Elephas maximus indicus: one gene and its partners. The protein of the gene in region 4 interacts with the protein of the main gene of each other region in a biochemical or structural test. Links are inferred from orthologs where the notes say so. Each region holds a gene or a part of one and is shown on either strand. Other genes may lie near its edges. The genes, in order: SLC34A1, SDK2, solute carrier family 22 member 12-like and PDZK1.

Region 1 (7,515 bases), on a different chromosome or scaffold from region 4:
AACGTCTACACTCAAGTGACTTTAAGTAAAGGAGATCAACCTCTGTGATCTGGGTGGGCCTCATCCCATCAGTTGAAGGCCTTAAAAGTAGAGCTGATGGGTCCCTGATAGAGAAGACATTTCTCCCATAGACTGCAGCGTCAGCTCCTGCCCCAGAGTGTGAGCCTGCCTTCCTGACAGTCTGCCCTATGAATTTTAGACTTGTGTAGCCAATCACAATCATGTATGCCAATTCCTTGTAATAAATCTCTTAACATATACCTCCTACTGGTTGTGTTTCTCTGGTAGAACGCTGACTGATACAATGAGTGGCCATATGAAGGTGGACATTCTTGGGGAGCGTATGTCCTAGTTATCACCTTTCTCTGCTCCTGAGGGCAACCTCCTGGCTCAGACACCTGGCCATGCTGAGGGGACAGAGTGGAAGATGCTGAATCCCTGCACTTTGCTCCTGGCCCCCTGCTTCCACTCCTGCTTCCGTCCCCTGTCCCCACAGCTGCCCCCAGCCCCCTGTCCCTGCACCTGCCCCCCAGCTCCCCACCCCACCCCTGCTGCCATTCCTGCCTCCTGTCCCCAGCCCCTTGTCCAGCAGCCACGGCACCCCACACACACACTCAACTGTCTCCTGGCCCTATGGGCTGACTCACAGCCGGAGGAGACCATGCTGACGATGATAGAGGTAGAAGTGCTAGAACTCTGCACCAGCACGGTCACCAGGATGCCCACCACCAGCCCAGCCACTGGGTTGGAGAGGATGGCGTTGTCCTTGAAGATGTCACCAGCCACCTTCCCTGGAAAGCAGGAGCCAGCATCCATGGATGCCCTTCAGGAACCCTGCCCTGGCCCCTCCACACAGTCCTACCTCCAGCCAGCTGGAAGGCTGAGCTGAGCACATCCAGGGAGCAGACGAAGAGGTAGAGGAAGGCCAGCATCAGTGGCACCTTGAGCAGTGTGGTGCTGGCCTGGCGGAGCCTCTGGGCCAACCCAGGCTCTGGAGACAGGCAGCTGTGAGCACCAGTCATGGGTCGGGACAGCCAGCCTGTGCCTGGCCTACCTGGCTTCTGCTCCTCCTCCAGGGCCGGCTTGGCAGGCAGCGGATCATGGAGCTCCAGGACCTCCCCGTAAGGGCAGCTGTGCTCGGCGAGGGCCACGGGGCCCAGGCTGGGGAAGGCATAGGCGGAGGTCCCTGGGATCCTGTGCAGGACTGGGGAGGGAGGCTAGTCAGGAGTCCCAAAGGCCCCAGGATCCTGGGGAGGTGGGCATGTGGAACGGCACAGGTGTGACCTGGATGAAGGCAGCTGTGGGCAAGCCAAACCCGCGGGGTGGAGTAGGACAGGGTAGCACTCACCCTGTGGGCTAGGCACATAGGCAAAGGCTGCCCCATGCATCACATGTCCCCCGCGGACGGGGAGCGGGGAGACAGCTGGGCTCCCCAGTCTCTCACCATAGGACATCATCCTGGGCACACACCGTGGGGCCTGCGTGCAGAACACTGAGTGACAACTGTGTGTCCTGGACACACACACATTCAGCCACGCTTCCGCAGGAACACAGGGATTCGCACGCATAACCACTCACAAACACCACAGATTTGGGCATTCATTCATGCAGCAAGTACTTATTCTCTATTCTAGTCCAGGTGCTGAGCTAGATGCATGTGCAACCAACCAACCCCCCAGTTGCTATAGAGTTGACTTCGACCCATGGTGACTGCATATGCATCGCAGTAGAACTGTGCTCTACAGGGTACTCAGTGGGTGGCTTTTCAGAAGTAGATTGCCAGGCCTTTCTTCTGAGGTGCCTCTGGGTGGACTTGAACCTCCAACCTTTCAGTTAGCAGCTGAGCACATTAACTGTTTGCACCATTCAATGGTTTATGGGGTACAGTGGGGATTAAAGTCAGACAGAAGTCTTCCCTCAGAAAGCTCAAAGCCTAGCGGGAGAGACTGATCTAAGTCAAAGAATCCCTCAAATGAGTGGAAAATGGCAATGGGACCGTGTGATAACGAAAGATACAGGATGCCCCTAGAGTGCCCCAAGTGCCCTGTGGTGTTGGCAGTGACAGCTCTTGGGGGAGGAGAGTCTTCCCTGAGAAAGAGACAATTATCTGAGATCAAAAGAGAGTTGCGGTTAGCTGGATGAGGAGGAGGAGAGGTTTGTGTGCCAAACCCCTGTGGGAGGAAGCAGCAGGCTCCGTTCAGGAACGGAGAACTGCCATGTGGTTGGGGGCAAGGGAACAAGGTGAGTTGGAAGAGGTTGAAGGTGTAGACCAGGGCTGGGGCAGGTGGGTAGAGTTTTTTGCCTATCCTGAGAGCAGGGAGAAGCCACCTGGCTGCTCCTGGGCACACACTCATAGCCACACACATGACACCGACATGGTGGAGGGCCCAATGGCCTGGATCCCAAGTTCCTAGGTTCCTCTCACAACTGACATTCCTTTCTCATCCACCTCCTACCCTGGCGGCACCAAACGAACACCTAAGGCCCTTCTGTGAATGAGGCTCAGACCAGGGGTAATTTCAGTAAGGAGGGGCTTCACCTTGCCACCAAGTCTGGGAAGACCCAGGCTTGCTCTAAGCTACTCAGCACTGTCCTGGGGTCCTTGGCTATTGTGGTGGGGGTGCCTCTGGTCTGCCTCAGCACCCCCAATATTGTCTGAGGATCCTCGGCTGTTGGGATGGGTTGCTGCTAGTCTGTCTCAGCACCCCCACATTATCCCAGGGGTACTTGACTGTTGGGATGGGGGCACAGCTGAATTCCAAGCCCTGGGACAGCAGTTTTTTTTCACCCTGGGGCAGTGAGCCAGGCTGGGCTGGGGCTGAGGTGTTACAGGGGCAGGAATGGGAGGCACCCAGGCAGGACAGAGGGGAGACTGGCTGAGGGAGCTGGGACTGAGGACTTCTGGTGGGGATAATGGGCTGTTTCCTACTAAGAGCTGGGGATGGGGTTGGGACATGGGGGCTCTGGCTCACCTTGGGCTTCTGTGTTTCAGCTCCTGCTCAGCTGCTCAAGAAAACCCCAGGGGCCCGAGGAAGGGGTGGGACCCTCCTCTTTATACCCTCGGGTCAAGGGCAAAGTCCCTAGAACCGTAGCTGCCCTCCCTCTGTTCCTCGATTAACCTCACCCTGAGATTCCTCCCGGTTAATTGCTAATCGTCAGCTCTGCAGGGGGAGTCTGTGGTCAGGCCCTCTCTCCCCCACATGGACACACAGCCTGAACCACCACCCAGTGAAGGGGCAGGCACATCCCCTACGCCCCCAGCAGAGACCTGCCACCACTCAGGCCATTTGCTCCCAGGGTCCCTAAAGAGAGTCCTCTCATTCTTGACCTGACAGTACTCCCCAGGGAGTGACTCAAACTCCCTGCGGCTTGTCATGCATCTGTGCATCTGTGTGTCTGTCTGTGCTCCAGGGCAGCATCCCAGGGAAAGGGAGCGTATGATGGAGGAAACAACAGGAGATAAACCCAGAGAGGCTGTGTCATGTTGAATCATGGAGGGTCTCTAATGCCTGGCCAGGGATCCAGAGTGTGAGCCTAAGGGGCCATGGAGCCACTGACAAGCTGGAGAAGGGCCTAATCTATATTTTAGGACAATCCATCTGAAGTGGGGTCAGGGAATGCGTCAGAGGAAGCGAGTCTGGAAGCAGAAAAACCAGTTGAGAAGCTGATGGAATGGCCCAGATGAGAGATAATGAGGTCTGAGCTAAGCTGGGAAGAGGAGGGATAGGGAGGAGAAGATGCATCCAGGGGATGCTTGGGCAGCGGACTTGGGTGGTGATGGAATGGAGGGAGGGGGAATATATGCCAGTCAAGGCACTAGATTGGGGGGCTGATAATAACACAAGGTGTGTACAGTTTCTGAAATGCAGAGCTGGGTCTTAGGGAGCCTTTGGGGAAGCTCCTTCCTCTTTTATTGCAGGGCCTGAGTTGGGGCCCAGAGCCATAGAGATGAGAAAGGATTAAGGATTTAATCAGGTCCAGCAGTGTGGGTTTCATTCAAGAGCTATCTTGGGCAACTGTCTGAGTAACTTGCCTAAAATTGTCAAACCATCCATGCATCTGATTATCGACCCACTTGTCCAACATCTATTTGTCCATACATTTGCCAGCCAGCGAGCCACCGATCTGCATTTATAGATCCATTCTTTTATCCATCTATCTACCCATCCATTCACCTGGCTAGCTAGCCAACCATCTGTACATCCATCCATTCATGCGTGTGTCCATCCACCCACCCACCCCATCTATCCATCCACCCACCCATCCAGCTAGCTAGCCAGCCAGTCACCAGTCTGTCCATCCATTCTTAAGTACATTAGTTAAGTTCCTACTCTACGCTGAGCCAAGATGGGCAAAGCCAGATTCTCTCCTGGTCCAAACAATGGGCTCCTGAGTCAGCCAGGTAGGATTCTGAGGCAAGTCCCCTCACCCCCTGAGTCCTAGTCTCTTCACCTATAAAATGGGAATCATCAGGCTTTTCCAGTGAGTTGTAAAATTCCAGGATGTAAATTACCTATCTTAGCTCCTAGAACCAAGTCCCACAGAGTTTTTGTGTTCTCCGTGCCCTCGTGCTCTTTGCAGAGTCTCCAGGATGGCCCTAGCTAAGGGCATGGGCATTCCCAGTCCTGTTTGAAGTTAACAATCCTCTTGGCTCACTGGCTGCTCCAAACAACAGTCCTACTAACATCTTAAATATTTTCGGGTGACATAGACCCAGAGTTTTTCTATCAAGGAAGACGGATATTCCCAAACAGTTCCCCCTTTAACCCTGGTTCAATTCCCAGCCAACGCACCTCAAGTGCAGCCACCGGCCCCTCTGTTGGTGGTTTGTGTGTTGCTATGATGCTAAACAGATTTCAGTGGAGCTTGCAGACTACGGAGAAAGGCCACGAAATCTACTTCCAAAAATCAATGAAAACCCTATGGGTCACGACAGTCCTATCCGCATCCAATCATGGGGGTGGCACAGGACAGGAAAACGTTTAGTTCCATCGTGCATGGAGTCGCCATGAGTCGGAACCCAACTTGGAAGAAGCTAACAAAAGCAACTAATCAACACTTAATGCATTGAGCATCATAGAGTCTGGGCACAGCAGTTGTGCATTGTATGCTGTTCACAGCTGCCTTTCCGTCCAAGTGGTTAAGAGCAGAGAGCAAGCTGGCCTGAGTTTGACTCTCACCCCCACCACAAAGTGGCTGTGTCAGTTCAGGTCACAGAACCCACAGGGGAGAGAGGAGGGAGGAGGAGGTGCAGCTGGGATTGGTTTGGGGCCAAGTGACCATACGTTCTTGTTTGCCTGGCCCAGGCCTGGTTTACAACTGTTGTGCCAGAGTCTCCTTTTACTCTGAAAATTGTCTTGGTTTGGACTATAAATGGTATAGTCACCTTGGTTGTGGGGGATTCTGGGAGACTGAGGCAGAGAGTTAGCCACTTCAGGGTGCCTACTGAAAATGTCTCCATTCAATTATTGAAATAGTAAAGATGAAAATCCACTACCTGTCTGTCACTTTGCCATACTGTGGTGACTTGCATGTTGCTATGATGCTGGAAGCTATGCCACCGATATTTCAGTGTCAGCAGGGTCACCTATGGTGGACAGGTTTCAGCGGAGCTTCCAGATTAAGACAGACTAGGAAGGAAGGCCTGGAGGTCTACTTGTGAATATTAGCTAATGAAAGCCCTGTGGATCACAGAATATAGTCTGAAACTTTGACTTGCTTACTTTGGACATGTCATCAGAAGGGGCCAACGGCTGGAGAAGGACATCATGTTTGGTAAAGCGGAGGCTAGCAAAGATGAGGGAAACCCTCAGTGAGATAGGCCGACACGATGGCCACAACCGGGGATTTCAAACATACCAACAATCATGACGATGCTACAGGACCGGCAGCCTTTTGCTCTGGTATACTTGGGGTGGTCAGGAGTTGGAGCCAACTTGACAGCAACTAACAACAACAAAAAAGAAAAAAAAAAAAAGCCACCCTACTTCTCAGAAACATCACTGTTACATTTTGGAGCATTGCTTTTCATCCTTTTTTCCTATGCCTTCCTAACTCAATTAGGGTTTTATTGTCCGTAAAATATTGCCTCTTGCTTTTTCATCTCACATTATATCGTAAGCCTTTTCTCATGGCTTTACACTCGGCACACGTATCGTTTTTAATGGTTGCATCACAGTCTGTCACGAACCCTAATTTACTCAGTGAACCCTCAGGTGTCCTCGAGCCCCTTGAACTTGGTAGGAGTGATTTGGGTACGGTCGGGGTTCATACAGAGGAGGGGTAGTGTTGCTGAACCAGGGAAATGCAGTCGTGGCTGAGTTTTGTGTCAGAATCTCCCTGTCCTGGGGCTCAGAGGCGCTGTTAAAATTGCAGTAGGGATGGGTGGGGGACTTTCTGGGCTGGAGTACCCCAACCCAGGCAGCAGGTCCAGAGACCCTGGTCATATGACCTATTCCTCTCCCTGAGCAGGAGCAGCCAGATCCCAGGGTCTCCTTATGAACCGGAGGTGCCTCTCATTTTTAGTGAGGTTGAGATTCTCCGAATGTTTGAAAAGTTCATCTTCCCTGCTGTTGTGGAGATTGGGGTGTAGCAGAGGAAGCAGGTATTGCTCACGTGGGTCACAAGGTTGTAATTACAAAACGCTGGGTGGTACAGAGTCCCTGGGTGGTACAAGCGGTTACAAAATGTTGGAGGTTCAAGTCTACCCAGAGGTGCCCTGAAGAAAGGCCTGGCTATCTACTTCTGAACGATCAGCCATTGAAAACCCTGTTGAACTGGTGTATGTTCTGCTGTGTGTATTCTCAACAACAAAACTAACTAAATAAAATAAATAATTAAAAAAAGAAAATCCCATGGAATGGTGATGTTTGAACAACATGATGAACATTTTAATGTCACTAGGCTTTAACTTGTGAAGATTGTTGATGGCAAATATTTTCTTACCTATGCGTTTACCACACACACACACACACACACACACACAAGTTTAAAAAACACAACCATATAGAGCACAGTTCTACTCTGACGCACAGGGGTCGCCATGAGTCAGAATCATCTCAACAGCCAACTAGGAACTTATACCACTTCCAAAAATAATTTTTGAGGGTGGGGCTGCTACAGCCCTAGTGAAAGGCCCCAAACTTTGGAGCTGATGAGAGCTGCTTTCTCGGCTCCTGCGAGTGAGAGAGGAGGCAGATACACTCCAGCCCCAAAGCGTCTTGGCCCTCTGCTCATCTCATCCTCCTTCCTGCCCACTGCCCGCCTCCTCCCAGGACCATGGCAGTCTGTGTGTCCCCCTGATTGGTGACTCCTGTCCTATTTGTGCTCCTGGGCTTGGCACCCACACGAACCACTTCCTGTCTTCTCACCTGACTGTGGCCTCCCCCAGACCTTCCTGCGGCCAGCAGCCTGGGTGGTTAGCGGTGTCTCACATTGCAAAGGCTCCCAGCGGGAGGAGCAGTTCTGGAGGGAAGATGCCAAGTTCAGTCTGTGCAGGTTGGGTGTGAGGTGGCT
Region 2 (7,879 bases), on a different chromosome or scaffold from region 4:
CTAACGACATCGCTTGGTTTTGGAAATGAATGTGAATTGTATGACATCAGGTTGTGAGGTAAATGCTCAAATGCTGGCTTTCTGCGAAGTTGCCCAGGGCCAACACCTGAAAAAAACTAGGCTAAGTGTCCAAATAAAATCCAGCGTGGGCCAATGTGAGATTTGCCTTAAGAGAGGAACAGCTGCTGGCCCTTCTGTGTCACAGCTAAAGAATGGGAACAGAGGACTCCGAAGTGACAAACACTAGCAGAGGCAGACCCACTTCATCCACCCCCAAAGGGTTAACCGCATGACCTCAGACACCAAGAAGAAACTCTGCCTGTCATAAGCAGGTAAGAAAGGACCCCCATGCCTAGACCCCCCTGCCCCACCCAAATCCAGCATTGCCTGCTAGCCTGGGCTGAGACTCTGAATTCCCACAATCCTCTGCAAGGAGGTTTGCCACCCCAGAGACAAATGGAAGGAGAGTGCCTGATGAAAACATTCTAGGAGCCAGAGAACACAAACGGAGCAGCAGGGGACCTAGGCAGCCGACACTCCAAAAGGCAGGAAATAAGACAAGCCAGAGAGGAGTGAATCAACCAGAGATCTTCCCTGCTTCTGGCATGGGGAGAAGCTTGCTTGGGGACAGGAGGCAGCCTGGCTTTCACTTCAGCAGAACATATGGACAGAATACTAGCCTCAGGTAGATCGGCCAGGTGTACAGGTGGAACATGGATAAGACTTGATGACCCTAAAGGAAGGACCTACAGGTGACCTGGGGACTTCATGAGGGTCCCAGATGGGCAACAACAGTGAGCCACCTGCCCAGGGAAATCATGCCATTGCCCAGTCTCTGCAGTAATTAAATTAGAAGGGTCCAGACAGAGGCTGACACCCCACAGAGTCCTCTCTGTCTCCTGGTAACCCAGCAGGCATCTCAGAGCAAATGAGGGGGTAGAACCTGGGCCAGACTACAACCTATCCAGCTGGTGTCAGGGGCCAGGGAAGCTGACTCCAGCTGTGCAGAGGCTCCAGGTTCCCGGGAGAGCGGCTTAGACCCCAGTGTTGATATCACGGCAGCCCCAGGCCTGTGCCACTCCATTATCCAGAGCCTGCACAGGCATGATATGATGTTTGCTGAGTGACTAAATGACCGTAACCAGGTAGGGGTGGGGATGGAAATATCCAGCCACTGGGTGAAACTGCTTAAGATCTGAACGTGGAAGGACTTGAGGCTCTGGTGGAATCAGTGGGTGACAATATGTAGGGACAAACAGCATCTCTTGATCCGTCTTGATCTGGGAGGATGGGCCTGAAGAACACTCTGGGTTCTGGGCCACCCACTAGGAAAGACAATGTGACCCAGGCTGGGATATGGGTCACTTGGACCCAGTCATGATTCTGCCCCCAGATCACAAACGGCCTCGGGAAAGTCAGTTAAGGGCACTAAGCCTCGGTGTTCCTATCTCTAAAATGGCTACTAGGACTAGACGACCTCAGAGATCGCTTCCTGCTCAAAGATTTTATGATGACCATAAAAATAATAATAGTTTTTATTACCTTACATTTATAGGACCCGTTACAAAATTTCCAGGCGCTTTTCCATAAATTGCCTCGTAAAACCCTTCCCTCAACCCTGTGAGTGAGAAGATGATTATTTTCATCTCTTTGATCTTGGCTCTCTGGACTGCCTGACGCTGGGCTCGCTGGGGTCCCTTCCTTCCCCACTTCCTTCCCGTGGCTTGGCGACCCCAGAGGAGGGGTGGGGCCGTTTCGGGGTTGCAGCCCCCGCAGTCCAGCGCCCCCAGTGGGTCCTGGCCACCTCCCAGAACCTGGAAGCTGCAAGGCCAAGCCCCGCGAGTCCCGAAGCTGGAACCCAGGCTTCGTCTCCCTCCGCCCCCAGCAGGCGCCGCTGGACACCGCTCGCGCCACAGTCTGGATTTGCAAACCCCAAAGGCAAGGAAGCGCCGGTGCAGCCGCCCTCGCCCTCTGGGACCTGCCGGGGGGTGGAGGTGGGGGTGGGGGTGGGGGTGGGGGTGGCTGGGAGGGGACTTCTGGGATTCCGCGCTCTCGGGGCAGCGCAGATCACGCCTCCTCGTCCATCCCGGTACCCCCCACCCTAAACCCATCAGTCCTTTTTCTCCCCTGCGAGGCTGTCCAGGCAGCTACAGGTCAGAGTGGCGGCTGCAGACACAGCTGAGCCGCCAGTGGAGGCTGGAGGCAGGGGCGGGACGCAGCGTGTGTCTAGGGGGCTGGGGGGCGAGGGCCTCAGCCCCTCCCTGTGCACTCCTCCTTCGACCGTGATCATGGGCTGCGCCGCTCCCGGGTCCGCGCCGCCGAGCACCTCCAGCCTTCACGACCGGCCATCCGGCCAGGCGCGGGCTCCAGTACGCGGCCAAACCGGTCAACTGCCCTGCCCAGGCGACCTAGCAGGCACCCGGCGCCCGCCTGGAGCTCCCACCCGCCCCATTCCCCCGCCCCGGGTCGGCGAGCGCCTGCCCCGGCTTGTCCCTGCCCTTCCCCGCGGGCACCGAGTGGCGCGGTAGCCGGAGCCAGGAGCTCGGTCTGGGGGTGCGCGGTGGAGCGGGGGCGCAGAATGGCGCGCCCCCACCGCGCCGGCCCGAGGGCACCAACAGCGGTCCGGGGGGCAGTACCCCCTCTCATCTTAGCCTCTTCTCAGCCTACCCCGGTGACGCCTCCCAGCACTCATCCCCACCTCCCCCACTCGAAAACCACAAGTCTCAGGGAGACTGTCCCACATCCAAAAGGGTGCCCCCAAAACTCCGGGGGGTGGGGTCCTGAAACTCCCTAGAGAGGGCTCTGCCTGGGCTAAGCACAGTGTCCCGAGGCCATCGCGAGGCCAGCGGATTCTTGCTGTCTCTCTCCCGTCCACTCTCAAAGCCTCCTCCCCAGCCCCACGTGGGGGTGGCCCTCCTACCTTGGGCTCCGGCCGCGCGGATCCGTTGCAGGGTCAGCAGAGCCCAGATCAGCAGCCTCCACATGGTGGTCAGCTTGGGGGAGAGGCCTCTGGGGTCCCTTTCCCCTGTTTTATAATCCTGGTGGGGTCCGGCACACCACGGCTTCGTCCCCGGGAGACCGTCTACGCGGCTCTGGGTCCCTAGCGCTGTAAGTCCGAGAGGGGCAGTGCTGGCTACCCCAACCCTTCCTCCTCCTCTTCTTGTCCAAATCCGAGCCAGCGGCACGCCCAGAAGACGAGGGGCGACCAAGGATAAAGAAGCAAAGCCGCCCTCGCGGACTCGGGTCGCCTCCCGCCCTCAGCACCCCAACATCGACTTCTCACAGCAGGAGGGCCTCTGCGCTCCAGCCGGGTCGCCGGCCGAACACTGGAATACACCGACAACTTCAGGAAACTTCCTCCGCGGCCACGTTGCCGCCCCCCGCCCCCTCCGCCCCTTGGTTGGCTTCTCTGGCGGACGCAGTCACCGCTGTTCCAGGCGTCCGGTCCCCGGGGCCCGGCCCGCGCTGAGCGCAACTGCAGACGCGAATGCTGGGGGTCTCTCAGGGGCTCCGGCTTCGGGGGGCGCAGTGAGCATAGCGGTCCGTTTCTTCCCGGAGCCGAAGTTTTCTTCTCTCTAACTTTGCAGGCGGCATCTGGCGGGGCCGAGCCACCCCTCTCGGCTCCGCCGCCCTCGCGCGGAATCTGGAGTCTGTCCGTCCCCCGGCGGCCACAGGGGTCGGAGAGCCTTCTGCTCGGCGCCCAGCGGGCTAGCAAACTTTGCGGGTCCCGCGGCCCCGCGCGCGGCCCCGAGTTCCCATGTCCGCGCCAGCCGCGGGGCGGCGGGGATGGTGGCTGGGCTCGGCGCCCCCGGCGGCCGCGGAGCCTCGGCGCGGAGCCTCCTGTTGGCCGGAGGACGGAGCCGGGCAGCCGTGCCCTCCCTCGCGCCCTGGCGGGAGCTCTTGGCGAGCCGCGCGGAGAGCCCAGCAGGCAGTCCCGGCTCCGGGGCGCGGCGCCTCCGCGGACGCCCGGCGCTAGCCGCCCACCCGGGCCGGAGGAGCAGCGGCCGCTATGCCCGCCCAGCGGCTCGGCCGCGCCGCTCACTCGGCCACCGCCGCCGCTCGCCGAGCCCGCCGCCCTAAGCTTCCCGGGTTCGGCGTCCAGAGAGCCGCTCCTGCCTGCGCCGAGCGGGAGCTGCGGGGGCAGCGTGAGCCGGGGACGAGCGCGGCGGAGGCGGAGACGCGGAGAGGGGGGCCGAGCGCTACCCCGTGGCCGCGACTGGAGAGCAGCCTGCGCCCCAGGAGGGGGTGTGTGGGGGGGGGGGCGGCGGCGGCGGCCGCGAGCTAGACGCGGGAGCGAGCCCCGCAGAAACGCTATCTGGCTGCGCGGCCGCGGGTGCCCAGCGCCTCAGGGACCCGCCCGAGGGCAGCAGTGCCAACCTCGAAAGAGCAGAGATTCGCGCAGAGCCCTCGGCTCTCACGCCAGCCTTCCCTTCCAGCCTTCGCGGAGCACCGCTCTCCCCAAGGCCTCATCTGATTCCCAACCTCTCCCTCCAGTAGCTGGGACTCCCAACCCCTTCGCCCAGCATTGAGCGACAGAGGTGGGGGATGTGTTTGGGGAGAGGGCCTTGGTCACTTGGTTGATTCCAGTTTCCCTTTCCCAGGTCAGGCTTTCAAAAGTCTGGAAACGCTCAGGGCGGCGGGAGAGCAAGACAAAAGGGCGGCCTCGGACTTACAGAGGGCTGAGAAAGTGCGATTGGTGCCAAGGCGCAGACAACCTTTGTTCCTTGTGTTTTTCTTTTGAACCCCGCTTGTAAAGGGTAGATGAGAGGGAAGTTGGTGGAGGGGACACGAGGAGAATAGATCCGAGGTTAGGTTTCCTCCCTGTGGCTCCCAGGACAGCAGGGCCTGCACCCTCAAGCATGGGACCCCAGCGCCAGCTTGCAGAGCTGGATTATACTTTTGTGGGCGCTAGGCACCTTAGATTTTGTGGGCCCCCTTCCTGCATCAAAGCATACATGTTAAAAGCAGTATTTTATGACTGGTTTGGTATAAAGGTAAATATATTAATATTACATGGTAAAATATTTTCTACAACCTAAACATTTATCGCTTTGGATTTTAAAAGAAATGGAAACATTTCCCAGTTGTCATGGTCAGTTGCGGTTGAGTTGATTCCATCTCGTGGTATGCAGAGTAGACCTGTGCTCCATAGGGTTTTCATGGCTGTGATCTTTCAGAAACAGATCACCAGGCCTGACTTCCAAGGTGCCTCTGGGTAGACTTGAACCACCAACCTTTTGGCTAGTAGTAGAGCGCTTAGTCGCTTGTGCCACTAAAAGCACTGTGTTCTCTGGCAATGGGTCTCCTGAGCCTAAGGGATCGTTTGGCCCTGCCTCCTGGGTGTTCTCGGTGGACAAGCAAAGAACCAGTGAGACCTTTGCCATGAGTCCTTTTTTCTCCTCTCTCTTCCTGGTAGTTCTGCTGAGCTGGGCCCCTAGCAGCTGCTTCCTTTGTCTCCTCCTTCACGTCCAGGGCTCTCCCTCACAGGCTCTGCCTACAGGGTCCTTCCACCCAGAGGGTACCCTTTCTGATTGCTACAGTGAAGTGGACGTAGCCACTGCCAGCATTTCATTACTTCTACCTTCTCATTTCACCTACCTTGGAAAAAGAACTGGGCATTTTCTGGAAGTGTCTGGGAAGCTAGTCTGCCTTCCCTACAGTCCTTCCATCATTGCCTGATTCAAATCACATTTTGCAACTTTCCTCCTGGCAAGATGAGCCCTGTCCCAGCCCCTCTGGCTGGATGGATGGAAAATGGAAGGAGCACGGGAATAGGTGGCCTAGATGTCACTGGCCCCCTTCCCCTTGGTGGCCATGCCACTCCCACCTGCTGTGGGATGCCCAGGCCTGACCTCACCTACCGGCTGTGAGCTCTACAGAGCCTCCACCCCAGAGCCCAGGCCCTTCCCAGCAGCTCAGAGCAGCAGGCCTGAGGGTGCTATTATACGGTTCGCTCACAGAGGGGGCCAGAGAGCCAGATTTGCTGGGAACCTCTCCTCGACCACAAAAAGAGCAGCAGAAAGGTTGCGTTTCTGTTCACAGAGGCTAGTAGCTCATGACAACACAAATACCTGAAACCTTGGTGGAGTCCACCCTGCTCGTACCCAATCCCCAGAATTCCAGCAGCCAAGGAAGGGGGCAGTATGCTCCCCAAACAGCATCTATTCCCTTTGTAGAGGAGGCCTCATTGCAAAGCCGTGTGTAGCCCTCCTCCCTTTTTCTGGAGTTTAATTCCCGCAGGCCAGGACAGGGGACAGTCAGGGGCTGGAGTGAGGGAAGGGGGGTTCCTCTGCTTTGTTGGAAGTCTGCATGAAAGTCCAGGTATGCCTGCATGCCGGGGAGGGGAGAGGAAGCGACCCTAAACCAGCAGCTCTTACAGCAAATGGCTATCTCCATCCTTGCTCTGGGATGGAGGGAAGGGCTTGGGCTCTGTCTGGGCTCAACCTGCACACATACACGTGCGTGCATACACACACACACACACACACACACACACACGAATGGGATTATCTGCTTTTGCTTCTTATCAGAGTTTCTCTGGCCTAGGAGGAGGCCAAGCAGGGAGCCTGCCGCTTTGAGAGGGGCTTGTTCCTGGGAAAGTCACTTGCAGACAACGGGACCTCATTCTTGCCACCAGCGGTATAATTAGAAAGTTGCAAGCGGTGCCTTTACAGTGGATGTCACATCAGGAGGGACCGTGCGGCGTTCCCAGGCTCCATTCTGCCTCCCTGTTGCAATGCCGCCCCTTCTGAGTGGAGTCTACGCCTGCAGCTCTTCAACTTCATGTATATCTCTCCATCCCCAAAGCCAGCACCTTGTAGAAGGCTGGACGCCTCAGAGACGCTCTCCCCATACATGGGACTCTGTAAATTCAGGGGGTGGGGTACAGTGGCGTCACTAGGGCTGGTGATGCAGTAACTCATGGTGTCACCTCCCCATGGACCTCCTCCTGTATCAGACCATACAGACTCCTTTTCCCCACTTCATGTTTTCAGCTGTCGATTTCTCTAGTTATCAATAACCGTTATATATATGCATGTTTATTATTAATTTTAATCATAGACTAATAGGTGATACATATAGTTGTAAATAGCTTAAATCTAGTATTTCTTAGATTATACGAATACTAACAAAATTGTTTTGTAAAATCATTCTACATCGAATTACAACATTGATCCTTATAGCGTTATTGGTAACTAAGCGGAAGCCTTTTCGGATTTTTCTCCTTCTTTTCCTTTAATTACTACTTCATTCTCAAAAAAGTTATTGGTATCAGTTCACAAATGCCACTTACTGCAATATTGTAGCTAAAACACCAGAAAATTTGACAAAATCAGCAACGCTGAAAACCCTGGAGCAAGGAAAACAACAGCGCACACTTGTAGCGTGATTGGAAGCGTCATCGTAATTGACTAATTACAATTAATTGACCACTCTGACCCCAGTGCATTAGAAGGTTCAAAAGTAAATTAGCATAGAGTTTTAACCTTGTAGCTACATTGATACATCTAAGCTGGGCTTACGAAAAATGTTTTTGTTATAACTAGCTTTAGGGATATTTTTATAAAAAATAAATTTCTGCTGAAACATGGCATGAAATTTTTTTAGTCATTTTGGTGTCACCCCCTCTGACGGTGTCACTCAGTGTAGCCGGCACCCCCCGTGCCCCTGTAGTAACGCCACTGGTGGGGGACAGAGGCAGGGAGCAACTCAGTTAATTTCAAAAGAGAAGGAAAGGCCGGGCCTCTCTGCCTTGCTTTTCTCCCTCTCCCCCTACAAGCAGATGCGGGCTTAAAATGTTACCCCCCCCCCATGAAAAACATTCACTGAACCCCACAGGGCCACTCTCGTAGCCTCTCGTCCCACATATACAGTCCCA
Region 3 (7,542 bases), on a different chromosome or scaffold from region 4:
CCCCTGCAGCCTACCCCTGCTCCCCCAGCCCCCTAGCACTAACCTGGCCCCACTCCCCTCAACATCTAGCCCGCCCTCCACATTCGCCCCCAGCCTGCTGAGCGCCTGTAGCTCCCACACGCTGTCTGGCTCCAGGCCTCTGCCCAGGAAGTTCCCTCAGCCATCCATGCTGTCCCCAAGGAGCAGGGCCAGGGTTGGGCCACCTGTTTCCTACCCACCCAGGCCCTGGGGTCCTTGGCATTTGCAGGGGAGAAAACAGGGAGATTCAAGGGACACATTAGAGGTAGGGTTGACAAGATCCGGTGACTGAGTGGACTTGGGGGGTGGGAGAAGAGTGAGATGTCATGGCAGCTCCAAGCCCAATACCTGGGTGGGTGGCGATGCCCTCCAAGTTGGGAAAGCCTAGGGCAGGAACAAGTGTAAGGAGGTGTTAGGTTTGTGAGTCTAAGACCATATGGAGGTGTCCCGGAGGCAGTTAGGGACACGAGGCTGCAGTGGAGATTTGGTGTCTGGCAGCCTTTGGATGGAGTTAGAGCCCTTGGCATGGATGAGGTCACTGGCGAGGGAGTGTCCACCTATCTGGGAGAAGGGGCTGGGCTGAGGCACCCACCAGGAGTACACAAAGCTGAGGAAGAAGGGAACAGAGACTGTCAGCTGCAGCATGGCCCAGTCGCGCACACCGTAGGCCACAGCAGCCATCAGGGCCTGGCCGAAGCTGAAGCCCAGGGCGTTCAAGGTCATCACCAAGGGCCGGCCTGGCGCTGATGTCCACTCCATCACTGCAAGGAGACGGGAACAGGTCAGCCTTGTGCAAACCTTCGCCTGCAGGGCCTTGGGTCTGGGTCTTACAGAGTGTGGCTGTGTTCATCATGACGCCTGCCACAGCAAAGGCCACCAGGAAGCGGAGCAGGCAATACACAGGGAAGGTGGGGGCAAAGGCAGTCGCGGTGCCCACTGTGGCCAGCTGAAGGTAGCTCCAGGTCAGCACCAGCCTGCGTCCAAACCTGTGACAGAAGAATACCTGGGGTCCACAGTGTGCCACAGCACCTGGCATGGGGGTTGGGACCTCTGAGAGCCCACCTTTCACTGCTGGCTGTGTTGAGATGAAGGTCAACAAGACACCCAGGGCCAGACCCTCATTCTCCAACCCTGGAAGGCTTATGAGCATAAAGAAACATGTCCCTGACTCCGAGCAGAAAGAGAGCTCGCTCTCAGCAGGGGATGCGTTCCCCGTCTCCAGGAGGACTCAAGCAGGTATGTGGCACAGCAGGTTTCAGGAATGAGTGGTTGATTGGAAGCAATGACCCCCCTACAACCCTGAGAGTAGAGTCTGTGAAAATGAGGCTCAGAGAGGGCACACCCTTGCCCAAGGCAGCACAGCTAGAAGGTGGCAGGACTGAGGCCAATATCCAGACATTCTGGCTACACGCAGAGCTTTCTTCCTTGAGGCTGGCTGCAAAGGGGGGTCAGGGGCTGGTCAGGTCAGAAGTCTAGGGCTGCAGTGATGGCAAGGAGTTGGGAATCTGTTGGAACCAGGTGGCACTCACCTGTCGGAGGTGTAACCACACATAGCAGCTCCCACCAGGATACCAGCCATGTAAATGGACTGGGCCATGGGCTTCAGGCCCTGAGAGTCACACACCAGGTCCCACTGGAAGGGAGAGGAGAGGAGAGAGCTAAGCTCAGGAGCCAGGAGGGACAGAGGAGCTAGATGAGGTTTTGGGCAGCTGACCTGGTACTTCTAGGGCCATCTAGACCCCTGTGGGACAGTGAAGGCACTCATGAATGTGGCTTTGCCTTGTGAGAGGTTTCCGGTCACTGCTTGCCTAAGCCTCTCCATGGTTCCCTATTGCCCAATGGGCCAAGGGTCAATCCCTCTCTAGGCCTTGCCTACTCTGCAGTCACCACCCCGAGCTGGTGTTACCCGAACCTTCCCTCTGTTCTTTATACAGCCCTGCTTGCGGAGATGAACTGCCCCTCCCCGCCTTCCAGATTGACCTGGTGCCCCTTCTTCTCTGGAAAGCCACCTGGAATGCCCTAGCCCCAGCTGGGTGCTTCACCTGCTGCTCCCAGGGTCCTCAGGGAGACCTGTGGGCGGGCCCAGTTCCCTGTTAGATGGGGAGCAAGACCACACCTCATCCATGTGTCTCCGGCACCCAGCCCAGGGCCTCCGTGATTCAGCAAACCCTTCACCTGAGTCCGTATCTGACAGCCGAGTAAAATGGGCTGGGCGAGGTGGAGTGAGCTGCCTGGAGTTACAACTTGGAGGTGTGGGCAGGACCAGGCCAAGAGGAGGCCAGCAAAATCCCAAGTGCAAATGTTAAAGGGGCACTCGGGTATCCACCCAGCACTCCCATGAGCCCACCTCCTTAATGCTTGCACTCGGACCTGTTGCTGGCCTTCCCTAGTCCCAGCCCCACAGACAGTCTTTGCAGACCAGCTGGATTCTACGTTACCTTCTAGGATGGTGGGACTGAGGAGGGGTTAGATGCCAGTTCCCAGGACTGGGCCATTTTCAGGCCAGCCAACTGTGACCTGTGATTTTCACCTCTAGGGTGTTAGGACTCAGGGTGTGTATGTGTGGTGGGGAGAGGCCCTTACCTGGGTCACAATGGTGGAGGTGAATGTGCTACGGTCATAGACCCAGCCGTCCATGCACGGCTCCGTGGCAGCCTTGCTCCAGTTGGTGGACATAGCGTTGGGGTCCAGAAGCTGCCACTGTGGGTGGCGGAAGCGGCGACACCGGTGGGGTTCTTGGTTGGGGCCAGGCGGGATGGAGATGGTCAGCAGGGCCTCAGGGCTCAGGGTCCCGGGTACACTGGCCTGGGCTGTGCTGTTGTCCAGGAGTGGCACCCAGCAGCGGTGGCTGGGCACGGCACCTGAGAAGTTATCCAGCATGTTGTGCATGGTAACCCACATGATGGGGGCCACCAGGGCCACTGTCTGGAGAACCTGAAACCTGCCCTGGCTGCCCACTTGGTCGAGGAGTTCAGCAAATGCCATGGGGCCTCCCAGGGGACCCGGAGGAGGCACCCACTTCCCAGAGGGCAGCCTGTCAGGGGCCACCCGCCTTGCTGACCCAGAGCCACTGCCCAGCGCTGTTACTTGGGGCAGCTTGAACGAGACTGGAGTCCACTGACATCTCCCAGATACTGTACCCTGGGACCTCCCAGAAATGTTAAATTTGGGAACTGGGGAAAGTGGAGACTGAGGTCACCCTGGCCAGAAATTAAACTGTGACCAGGTGTCACTTATGGAACAGGGTTTAGTAATCATTTTCTCAGTCAAAGTTTAACCCACTCAGAGAGAGACGTCCACTCATCCATGCCTTCCCACCATGTGTCGGTGCTGGCCAGTGCCTTTCTGCCCTTGCTCCTGCTGCACCCCAACCTGGAATGCCTTCTCCAGGCTCCTGCTGGGGCCAGACCCTGAAGGTCCTATGAACGCCTCCTCCTTCAGGGGGCTCTCCTTGCTTGTTCCTGCCCACCCCCGGGCTCGGAGGTATCTTTGGAGCCCATCTCTACACTGTCCTGCATCCTTGTAGTATTGTCCAGGAGCCTTGTTTCCAGCCCATTCCTAGAGGGTGGGGGCCGTTTGTCCTGCATCCTTGGGACCCAGCACTGATTTGGGCAACAAACAGAGGTTCCATGAAGATGTGCTGAAATGCATGGATGGTTTTCAAAACAGCTTTAATTTTTTCTGACTATAAAATTAATGTATAGATCTTCCCTGAAATTCAGAAAATATTGAATGATATGAAGAAAATAGAAATTATTCCTAAACTTCCCCAACCAGGGATCTCCACCATTAACATTTTGGTGTAAATACTTCCAGATTCTTTTAGTAACTGTATGTCCAGCTTCATCAGTCTTCATCAGCTTACATCTCCTTTTGTAAGATCCAAATGAAAAGCCCCCGGCCTTTGTGTGTATGTGTGGTAGAACATATATCACATAAAATCTTAAGTGTACGATTTGGTTAGTTAATCACATTTCACTACGCTGTGCAACCATCACCAATATCCATTTCCAATTTTTTTTATCACCCCAAACAGAAACTCAGTACCCCTTAAGCAATAACACCCCATTTCCCCTTTCTTCCCTGTCTTAGGCTGGGTTCTCTAGAGAAACAAAACCAGTAAAGCATACATATCTATATACCTATATCTATATATCTATATCTAGAGAGAGAGATTTATCTCAAGGAAATGCCTCACACAGTTATAGAGGCTGGCAAGTCCCGAGTCCATGGGTCAGGCAGCAGGCTGGAGGCTTCTCCTGACTCATGTAGCTGTAGAGGCTGGCAAGTCCCAAGTCTGTGGGTCAGGTATCAGGCTGGAGACTTCAGCAGGGGCTGATGAACTCACGATTGGCAGGTGAGACGGCAGGCCACTGGCTCACAGGCTGCGGAGGCCGACTGATCCCAACATTGGCAGGTAAGCTACTAGCTCAAGTCCCAAGAACTGGATGTCAGATGATAATGAGCCAGATGCAGGATACAGAGCAAAAGGCTTGCTGGAACATCTATTTATATACTGGAGACAGGCCTCACTCCAAAGGAAACTTCCTTTTAACTGATTGGCTGCTCATAACATACCTCATGGAGTTAATTACGTCATTACATAACTGCCAAATTACATCATAGCTGCCAAACCACTGAGAATCATGGCCCAGCCAAGTTGACACACAACATTTACCACCACAGTCCACCCCTTGTCAACTTGGCATCTGTACACATCTCATTAAACCATACATAATCTCTATATAAGGACAATTATAAAGTCATACTTGCACATAGCATGATATAACACGTGTACAACTGAAAACACACTAGCCCTGCTTACTTCTGATATTTTATAAATGAAGAAAACAAAAATATTTGATGCACACATGCAGGGAAGAAATACTTATAACAATTGCACTCCTCGTTTCTGCAGCTGGTCATGTGGTTGTAGCTGATATTTAGAACTACTTTCTTCCACCACCCTTTGTGTATTCCCTTTACCCTCAGCAAGCACCTCAGCTAGTTGTGGTCCTTTGCTTGGTGGGATGACCCAAACCTTCATTCCTGAAGAGTCTGGGCCATTGGTAGTCATGTCATAATTTGGTTGCTGTAGTTTTCCATTGACATTACCATTCCGTCACAGGGCATGGTAGTACTAAGAGATGCCCTAAGAGATCTCCTGTATTCCAGACATACTCTTCTTTACCTCCATTATGTAATATCAATTTGATTTCCTCTTGGTAATCTGGATCAATCAAACCAGCCAGTATGGTAACTCCCTTCTTTGTTGGTTGATCCAGAGGCATGAGGAGCCCAAAGTGGCTGGGTGGCATTCTTAACTTCCAATTCAACAGAATCAGTGATGTGTCTCCAGGTGGGAGCATTCCTTTCTTTGGAACTAAGACCTCTAAATCCACAGAGCATAGGGTAGTGGGGAGAGAAGCAAAAATTTTGCCAGTGGGTCACTAGGGGTAATAGTGAGTGATGCCACTCCCATTTCTATCCCCTGATTCCTGGACCCATGAATCCTGGCTATGGGAGAAACAGCGCCATATATTGGATGCTGGTTTAGAGCATATACAGCCTCCGGGAGAACATCGCTCCAACCCTGCAAGGTATTGCCACATAGCAGGTGCCATAACTGTGTCTTTAGAAGGCCATTCCATCGTTCTATCAAGCCAGCTGCCTCAGGACAATGGGTAACATAAGACCAGTGAATTCCCTGAACATGGGCCCATTGCCATACTTCATTTGCTGTGAAGTGAGTCCCTTGATCCAAGGTGATGCTGTGTGGGATACCATGACAGTGGATAAGGCATTCTGTGTGTCTACAGATGGTAGTTTTGGCGGAAGCATTGCGTGCAGGGAATGTAAAACTGTATCCAGAGTAAGTGTCTATCCCAGTAAGAACAAAATGCTGCCCTTGCTATGATGGAAGCAGTCCAATGTAATCAACCTGCCACCAGGTTGCTGGCTGAGCACCTCAAGGAATGGTGCCATATCAGAGACTTAGTGTTGGTCTCTGCTGCTGGCAGATTGGGCACTCAGCAGTGGCTGTAGCCAAGCTGGCCTTGGTGAGTGGAAGTTCATGTTACTGAGCCCTTGCATAACTTCCATCCCTGTCAGCATGGCCACTTTGTTCATGAGCCCATTGGGCAATGGCAGGAGTGGCTGGGGAAAGAGAATGACTGACTCCCACAGAATGCATCATCCTATCAATTTTTGGTGAGCATTCACGCGAGACACAAATATCTTCACTTCTTTGGTCCATTCAGAGATGTCTATCCACAAATCTTTTCCCCGTACCTCCTTGTCACCAATTTTCCAATCATGTTCTTTCCAAGTCCCTTATCATCCAGTCAAACCATTGGCCACAGGCCATTAATCAGAATACAGTCACACATCTGTTCATTTATCCTTCCAAGAAAAGTGAACTACCAAGTGCACTGCTCTATGTTAAGCCCATTGGGAGGGTGTCCCTTCACCACTACCCTTCAGGGAGGTCCCAGAAAGGGGTTGTAGTGCTGCTGCTGTCTACTTTTGAGTGGTGCCTGTGTGTTGTGTAGAACCATCTGTAAACCAGGCACAAGTTTTCTCTTCTTTAGTCGACTGACCATAAAGAACTCCCCATGAGGATATAGGTGCAGACTGGGACAGGGCATATAATATGACAGGAATGAAGACTTTGGGCATTTGGGCCACTTCCTCATGCAACTTACTTGTGCCTTCAGGTCCAGCTCTGGCCCGATCTCATACATACCACTTTCGTTTAATGATGGAGTGCTGCTCTGTACATCCAACTTTATGACTCTCTGGGTCAGACAACACCCAGTTCATGATGGGCAGCTTAGGTTGCATGGTGACTTGGTTACCCATGGTTAAGTGTTCATTCTTTACTAAGGCCCAGTAACAAGCCAAAAGCTATTTTTCAAAAAGAGAGTAGTTATCTGCAGAGGATGGAAGGGCTTTGCTTCAAAATCCTAAGGATCTGTGCTGTGATATGCTGATACAGGCCTGTCAAAGACTCCATACAGCATCTCTATCTGCCATGGACACTTTAGGCAACATTAGATCAGCTGGATCATATGGCCCAAGTGGCAGAGTGGCTTGCATGGCAGTCTGAACCTGTTGCAGAGCCTTCTTTTGCTCTGGGCCTCACTAGCAGCTTTTCGAGTCACTTGATAAATAGGCTAGAGTAGCACACCCAAATGGGGGCTATACTACCTCCAAAATCCAAAAAGGCCCATCAGGCATTGTGCCTCCTTTTTAGTTGTAGGAGGGGCCAGATGCAACAATTTATCCTTTACTTTAGAAGGAATACCTCAACATGCCCCACACCACCAGACCCTTAGAAATTTCACAGAGGTGAAATGTGCCTGAATTTTTTTGGGTAAATTTCTCACCTTTTATTAAGCAAAAGGACCCTTGTGGTGCAGTGGTTAAGAGCTATGGCTGCTAACCAAAAGGCCAACAGTTCAAACCCCTATGGGGCAGTTCTACTCTGTCCTATAGGGTCACTATGAATTGGAATTGACTCAA
Region 4 (7,884 bases):
CTGGGGCGTTGGCATTTGAATTCATACCCAAATGATAAGAAAATAGTCATGTAAAGATCTGAGGAAGGGGGAGACCATTTCAGAGTTTGTGGTCCCAGGAAGCTGTAAAAGCTAGTGTGGGAAAACAGAGGGCTGAGGCTTTGAATATTCCTTGGCACTGCATATACCTGCTCTAGGAACACAACCAGTAAGACCACCAGGGCTAACACCCCCAGCCCTGCAATGAAGATATTCTCTAGAAATGGGGCAGCTTCAGGAGGCTAATGACTACCCTAGCTTCAAAGCTCCAGCATCTATCACATCCTTGGTGACCTGGAAAACCCGTTAGCGATCATCTAGTTTCAACTAGGAAATAGAGGTTTGTGGAGCCCTGGTGAAACAGTGGTTAAAAGCTATGGCTACTAACCAAAAGGTTGACAGTTTGAATCTACCAGCTGCTCCTTGGAAACCCTGTGGGGCAGTTCTACTCTGTCCTATAGGGTCACTATGAGTCGGAATCGACTCGAGGGCAATGGGTTTGATTTGGGGTTTTAAATAGAGTTTCAATGAGATTAAAAAACCTGACTGCAAGGCTGTTTCTTCCCACTATTCCACAGAGCTTTTGGATACACACATTGTAACATAAGTACCTTACACTTTTGTGTTTAGTCTCCTAAATGCATTCATATTTTTATAATTTTTGGTACAGCCCTGGGGCAACAATGAGGTCTTCATTTGACAGATGGTGACATCAAGGCTCACTTTGGCCAAGTGACTTTTCACTAACAACTAAATCAAAACCCAGTTCTTCCCCCAGCCCTGCATCCTCTCCCCTTGATGATACATAGCTGCCTAGCAAGTTGGCTATGAATGTAAGCCATCGTTACTAACTACTTCATATTTTATGATACAAAGAACATATGAAAATGTCAAAGATAAGAACAATTCACTTAGTCATTAAAACATAAACTCAAAGTCCTTGAGTTAGTTGCTGCAAGAAGAACATATGACTCCAGGTGACCAGACAGTTGTGGCCTGAGACACTCAGCCCTGTGACTTCTGGATACAGGACTGAGCATGTTGATGCTGTATGGCAGGGACTGTAAACTAGAAGGAATGTGTTCCTCTTGTGAGGCCAACCCAGACTGTCTCCACGGTGAACCACTAGGTGAAGGTTACTTAAGTCCCTTGATTCTTCTGCTTAGGAAATAATCTCCTATTGGTCCCCAAACCTGCCTACATATTACAATCACCTGGGAAATCTTAAAAAAAGAAGAACTTCAGACTATACAAGACCTGAAGAATTAGAATCTCCAAAGGGTAGAAACTGGAGTTCTACATTCTCAAATTCAACTACCCTAGAAACCCACTGATTTTCCTCATTGTTTTGTGCTATAATGTGATAAAAAAAATAAATTTAAAAAAAAGAGATGCCCATTTCTGTTACCTGATGAGATAAAGTTAACTTACATTCTGTCTTTTACAAAGAGCTTCTGGAAGACAATCTCAAATACCTAAACCCCCTTAATAGTGGAGAAGGTCTTGGAGTTAACTTCCTCATGACCTGTGACGTCTCCCTTTGGCTGAACATCAAATCCCCATACGACCCTGGGAAAGTTTTCTCTGAGGATCAGTTCCACAAACTGCTTTGTCGGGCAGCCCCTGACCTGCAAGGGTCAGGGGTCCATCACGCAAGAGAATTTCAAACGTGCACACACCCCCTGCTTCCCCACCCAGGGGCCTGGCCAATGACAACTTGCCCATGGGCCTCTCTCCTATCCTAGAAAGCCAGCTGCTTGCTTGGAAAAGAAAAAAAGAAGAGAAAGACAGTGGTCCAGGGCCAGGTGGCTGGTACCCTCAGTCAGGGGGACGCAAGAGTCAGAAGTTCTTACCTGAATCCAGGAAAGAGAGGAGCTGTTCCGTTCACTCAGGAACTCTCTCTGTTGATGAGCACTAGTCTTGGAACTTGCTGAACTTTGAACAAAGATCGATTTAAAAGTTGATGTATTTAACAGGGACTTGTAGTCTGACCTCTGTTCTGCTTCCTGCCAGCTGGCTAGGCCCTGAGCTGGGCAAGCCTGGAAAACTCCAGCAAACTCAAAAAACTTAGGCCCACCTGCCTAACTGCCTGGGGATGCTGCTCCTTGCCTGCCCTTCCCAAAGACCAGGACAGAGAAAAGAAGGGAAGACAACCAGGGAGGAAGTACCTCTGCCTTCCTGAGTTCCCTCCCTTAGGCAAATGCCTAGGTCACAGCCAACCAACACTCAACAAACACCTAGTCCCCTTAGGCATTTCCATTGTCCCCAAGCAAAGGTCGCTGCTGAGCCAGGCTGCCATCGCCGGAGCATCCTTACACACCAAGGCCTCCCTGGGGAGCAGCAGCCTGTGCAGTCCCCACCCATGGCCCCAGTAGAAGGCTAACAGGCCATTAAGCCCAAGTGGATAGGGCAAGATGGACTCCCACCCTGAGAGTTCTTACTCGCATAGTCCCTGGGAGTTCACCCTTCAAAGCCCCTGTTCTTCCCCAAGCTCCCTTCCTTTTATACCCTTTCTCCCGTGCATTTTTTTTTTTTTTTAATCTCTCTCACCTGAGAGTGCTCTGTTTTCAATCTCCAAGCTAATGACAGTTGTATTCACTTCTTGTGTCTCAGGCAAACATGTCTGGGTAGCTGGAAGGCATTTTCAAAAGCTCCTCAGCCCTGCTGCCTGGGCAGTGGGGTGGTGCTCTCCTGCACTGCCCCAGCCCCAGCCCCAGCCCCAGCCCCAGCCCCAGCCCCAGCCCCAGCCCCAGCCCCAGCCAGGACCAGCAGCTGATCCCTGTTAGCAGCACCCACACTGGTGAATCTACCACCAAGTTTCTCACTGACCTGCATCCTCAGCCCACACTGGAAATAAGGGCAAGAGATTGCTCCAGGCAATGAGACAAAACAAACCGCGGCCGAGGACCGGGTGGCCTCACCCTTTCTCCACCCACGCCGGAAAGGCCTCTTGCTGTCACTGTGCCTTGGCTTTGCCCCCAACAAAGCCATGGCCGGAGTCAGTTGGTAAATGGTTGAAAATGACAAATACCTGAGTAGCTTCCGCATACCAGTTATTTTCCACCTGAAGCGTGCCCTCTGGGCCTTCTGCATATCTTCCAAAGCAGCAAGGTATAATGGGAAAATCAGGATTTAGCACCAGAACACCTGGGTTCAAATTCGGCCTCTGCCACTTCGCAGGTGTTTAATCTAGGCTAATTTAATTCGCTGAGTCTCACTTTCATCATCTGTGAATAGTTGTTGTTATATTGTTGTTAGAAATGTGGTCTTTATTTTGAGTCAAAATTTCTCTCACCTCTACCTATAAATCCTAATAGTTCCTTCTGGAGCTCTACATCCTAAATCTAGTCTTTATTCTACACAGCAGTCCTTCAGGTATTTGAAGGCAACTATATCCCTCTTTTATATCCCCCATGGAAACCCTGGTGGCATAGTGGTTAAGTGCTGTGGCTGCTAACCTAAAGGTCGACAGTTCAAATCTCCCAGGCACTCCTTGGAAACTCTATAGGGCAGTTCTACTCTGTCCTATAGGGTTGTTATGAGTCAGAATCAACTCGACAGCAATGGGTTTGGTTTTGGTTTTGGATATCCCCCACAGGAGCCCTGGAGGCACAGCGGTTAAGAGCTTGGCTGCTAACGAAAAAGTTGGCTGTTCAAATCCACCAGCTACTCCTTGGAAACCCTATGGAGCAGTTCTACTCTGTCCTACAGGGTCGCTATGAGTCAGAAACAACTCGAGGGCAACAAGTTTGGATATTTTGGTTTCTATCCCCCATAAGTCTTCTCTGAGACTCTGAGAGATTCATTGAATGCCCCTCATTCCATAAGGCCTATAGAATATTCCATATGGCTTAAGCCTATGTGATAACTTCAAGACTTCTTATCACCCTGGACGCCCAGCTGATTTGTCAGTGTCCCTCTTAAAATCTAGGGCCTAAAGTGAAAACTTTTTAAGGTGAGGGAATGAAACTTTATTGAGTGTTGGGAGTGGCAACATGTCTCCAGTTACCAAAATTCATCAAGCTATGGGTATACAGCTAAAATAGCTGGATTATATTGCATGTAAAAATACCTTTTTTTCTTTTTTTAAGGAGCATAAGTCAGTAAAATTGATTCTGAAAACATCTATTTAAATTAAAAAAAAGCAGTTCTCACATGAAGCACTCATTCATCTCCCAATCAACAAGATTCTCAGACTTGCCTTCTATCCCAGCACAGCTGGAACAAATAGCCACAACATTTCAGGCTTCCATTTATATATATATACACACACACATACATATGTATATACACATACATATGTATATACATACAATATACATATATATATATACCCACAGGGACCAAAAACCAAAAAACTAAACCCATTGCCATCAAGTCAATTCCAACTCATAGTGACCCTATGGGACGTAGTAGAACTGCCCCATAGAGTTTCCAAGGAGCACCTGGTGGATTATGAACTGCCAACCGCTTGGTTAGCAGCTGTAGCCCTTAACCACTATACCACCAGGGTGTGTATTTGTTTTGTTGACTACATCCCAAGTGCCTAGAATATAAGCCTTTTCAAAAAATGTTGTCAAATGAATTAATCAAATAAATAAATGAATGAAACTCCTTTTGCCAACAGGGCTGGTTTTTCTTCCACCTTTTCACTGAGAATGTAGTTTTTGAGGGTGTCACCTCTATGCAGGGTCTCAGTTCCTAGCTTTTATCTCCTGTTGCAAAGTGACCCTGTGAACACAAACCGGTTACCACTTTTCCATTTCCTCTTCATTCTGGATCTTAGAGATTTATTTTCCATTTCTTCCAAGTTCAACTATCTATTTGACAAAATGCTTGATGTATTTTCCACAGTATTTCTGTGAACTTTATTAGGAGGGTTTTCAGTTGATTTAAAAAAAATAGTAGTTCTACAATTTAGTAGTTACTTTGCATCCCAACCTCCAGCTTTCTTATCTGTATAATAAAAATAATACTGCAATCTCATAGGGTTGGTCAGAGAATTAACAAGACATTTGTAGAGTGCCCAGAACCTGGTAAATGCTTGGTGCATAGAAACATTATTATTCTCATTTTTTGAAGGAATCAGTCCTCTTAATTTATGGGCACACATTATACAAACAGGCCAATGAAAATAAATGAGCTAGAAGTACACAATGGGCAACTTGGGAGTTTGGGATGTTTGGAACAGTAATGTATGGCGCTCCTGCCTGCTCACAACACACCATTTGGTGCAACTGGTCAGAAACAGAAAATTAGAAATACTTCCCAAGACTTCTCAATCTTTTTCCCATCATGCCACACATAGAAAATGATAGTAGTTGTATAGCACACTAGAGTAAATAGACGTGTTTGTTCAACGCTGGAAAGACCTGCCTGAGACCAGGAACTCTGAGCTCTGCCCAGACTCTCCAAAGGTTGAGGGGACCAATATTTTTGGCATACTTGTAGAAAACTATTAAAAAACATCACCAAAAGCAATTAAAGAAAATCCAATGAAGATTATACCATATTCATGGATTGGAAGACTCAATACTGTAAAGATGTCAATTCTCTTCAAAACGATTGTTTACAGATTAATGTAATTCCAAACAAACTTCCCATAGGCTTTGTTTTTTTTGTTGATGGAGCTTCATAAGCTAGTTCTGAAAACAAAATAGTAAGGAAGGAGTTGCTGTAGTGGATCTCAAGATGGTAGAGTGACAATAACTACTTTAATATAGTACTGGCACAAGATGGACAAATGGACCAATGGAATAGCTTAGAAAGCCCAGAAACACAGTCATACATATATGATTTATATCGATTTATGACAAAGAACAGAGGGAAAGAATGGCCTTTTTCAATAAATGGTTCAGGGTTTGCATCTGGCTTATTTTATTCAGCATGATGTTTATGAGATTCATCCATGTTGCTATATGGAGCTGTAGTTCATTTGTTTTCATTCTATGATTCCATTTATGTCATCTCCAAATCAGAACTTCTGGGGTGCCTGTTTAGGTGGTCACTCACTACACTGACTTTTGGGATGCTGGCAAGATTCTAGTTCTTGAGTTGACTGGTAGTCGCACAGGTGGTTGTGATAAATTATTGAGCTATGCATTTTCATTCATGTATTTTCTGTGTACCATATCTGACAATGAGGTTAAGAAATTCAAAAACTTAAAAATTACGGTGTATGTCTAGATAACAGAGTAAACAGAAGAAGTTTTTCAAGGCTGGAAGTGACCTACCTGAGGGTTTCAGTTGCCCTCGGCCCTGCCCAGACTATTCAAAACCCAAAGGGAGCATTATCTTGGCATTCCCATAACCCACCTGTGGCACACCTGAGCACCCTGGTCAGGAAATTTTGATCTTACCACTTCAATTTTCTTACTCTGAAAAAGGATTCAGAGAGATGAATTGACTTAACTTAGGTCTCCAAAAGTTCATAGCAGGGACAGGGCTAAGACCCTGAGCTTTTGCTTCCAAGGTCAATGCCCTTTCTACTACACCATTCTGCCTGGCTTCCTGGGGACCATCTGGATGTTCTTATGTACAAGATTCCAGGCTTCACCCTTTGCATTTGGGCTCCATCCCTGATACTCTTGAATTTTTATCCCAATTTCAGATCTGATTGCTTCAGTGTTACCCTGTCTTTTTGGTAGCTCATTAACTCACAAAAACCAGTGCCGTCGACTCAGAGCCTGGCATTTTTAGCTCCAGTGGTTTTCTGTCCCTGTCCTGAGTCAATGTTTATGGCAATCTCCCCTTTCTACCCCCTCCCCCACCATGCTACTCTGGCCTCATCCACCGTCTGAAGAAACAGCCTGTGCAGTCTGCATACCTCTGGAGGAATTTATTAGGTCAGAGTCCAGGTGCAGGACTGCAATGAATGTTTTACAGCAGTGCACAGTGATGGGTGGGAGGAAAGGCAGCCACTTTGCTTTACAGGCATTGTGGCCCCACAAGATAGCAGATCTCAACTTTCTAGTGTTTTCAGCAACCTGGTGTCAGGTCAGGGGAGGCCAAAGGACCTTGGAGAGCTGTGAATTATTAACACTTGTAGCTGACTGCAAAGGATATTTTAGTGGTCATTTCTTCTCCCAGCTGAGGGTTCAGAATGCACAATCCTTTTCTACCAAAAGAAAAATTGAGGCCCAGAGCAAGAACATGCCCTGTTCTGGGTTCCCACGTGTGCAAAGGTCTGGGCATTCTTGTAGTGGATTAAAAGTGTCTCTGTTTGCCTGTCTCTGAGGGACCCAGAAACTGCAGATCAGAGGTCCTTGGGAAGTTTGAATCTTGCTGTAAAGAGTCAACCTCTCAATGGCCCCAACAGACAAGCCTGGGAGCAAAAGAACAGCCAGGAGAGTGGCAGGGATCTCGGGGCCGCAGCCTCAGCCTGACTGCATCCTCTGCGCCCAAGAGAGATTGGGACCACCCCATCCAGAAGTACAAGGCCTGTGAGAAAGAATCAGGAACCAGGAGCAGACGAGTGGGCCCAGGTCAGTGGCATGATTTAAGGGGATGAAAAGATATCCCTGACTCAAGCATTTTCTCTAACAGAATGGTTCCTGAGCCCCCTGACATTCTGGTCTGGAGAGCAAACTAATCCATGTCCACCCTGTTTTCCCTCATTGCTTTAGAATTCTAGCATGTCAAAAAGAAAAGCAATGCTTGCCTTCCTTGCCCACTGAAGAAGGTAGATTTTCTTCTTGGAAGCCCAGGTCAGGATGGGGATGGCCCCATCTGTTTTGTCTGAGGGTGGAGTGCAGCCTCTGCACTCCCACCACCCCCCCAGCCAGTTATGGCACACACATGCCTGCAACTTATTTCAGCAACCTGGTTATCAGGTCAGGGGAGACCCGAGGACCCTGGAGAGCTGTG

Evidence for each region.
Region 1: the proteins of PDZK1 (region 4) and SLC34A1 form a complex in vitro, tested with the Homo sapiens proteins (2 studies listed by BioGRID and IntAct, with this or other methods). The link is inferred for Elephas maximus indicus from reciprocal best matches to the Homo sapiens genes PDZK1 and SLC34A1.
Region 2: the proteins of PDZK1 (region 4) and SDK2 interact in a test that uses a peptide from one of them, tested with the Homo sapiens proteins (2 studies listed by IntAct, with this or other methods). The link is inferred for Elephas maximus indicus from reciprocal best matches to the Homo sapiens genes PDZK1 and SDK2.
Region 3: the proteins of PDZK1 (region 4) and solute carrier family 22 member 12-like form a complex in vitro, tested with the Homo sapiens proteins (2 studies listed by BioGRID and IntAct, with this or other methods). The link is inferred for Elephas maximus indicus from reciprocal best matches to the Homo sapiens genes PDZK1 and SLC22A12.

What each region holds. Positions count from the first base shown.
Region 1 is NC_064820.1:197,753,633-197,761,147, reverse strand, and holds the start of SLC34A1 (sodium-dependent phosphate transport protein 2A), read right to left. Parts: upstream 3,013-7,515; 5' UTR 2,973-3,012; intron 1,479-2,972; 5' UTR 1,458-1,478; coding exon 1,349-1,457; intron 1,205-1,348; coding exon 1,055-1,204; intron 992-1,054; coding exon 863-991; intron 792-862; coding exon 648-791; intron 1-647.
Region 2 is NC_064837.1:63,965,724-63,973,602, forward strand, and holds the start of SDK2 (protein sidekick-2), read right to left. Parts: upstream 3,005-7,879; 5' UTR 2,985-3,004; coding exon 2,921-2,984; intron 1-2,920.
Region 3 is NC_064825.1:127,752,395-127,759,936, reverse strand, and holds the start of solute carrier family 22 member 12-like, read right to left. Parts: upstream 3,004-7,542; coding exon 2,602-3,003; intron 1,652-2,601; coding exon 1,548-1,651; intron 1,005-1,547; coding exon 850-1,004; intron 780-849; coding exon 611-779; intron 1-610. UniProt on the Homo sapiens protein: Electroneutral antiporter that translocates urate across the apical membrane of proximal tubular cells in exchange for monovalent organic or inorganic anions. Involved in renal reabsorption of urate and helps maintaining blood levels of uric acid.
Region 4 is NC_064821.1:157,858,025-157,865,908, reverse strand, and holds the start of PDZK1 (Na(+)/H(+) exchange regulatory cofactor NHE-RF3), read right to left. Parts: upstream 3,010-7,884; 5' UTR 2,848-3,009; intron 2,650-2,847; 5' UTR 2,569-2,649; intron 1,954-2,568; exon of another isoform or gene 1,949-1,953; 5' UTR 1,872-1,948; intron 1-1,871. UniProt on the Homo sapiens protein: A scaffold protein that connects plasma membrane proteins and regulatory components, regulating their surface expression in epithelial cells apical domains.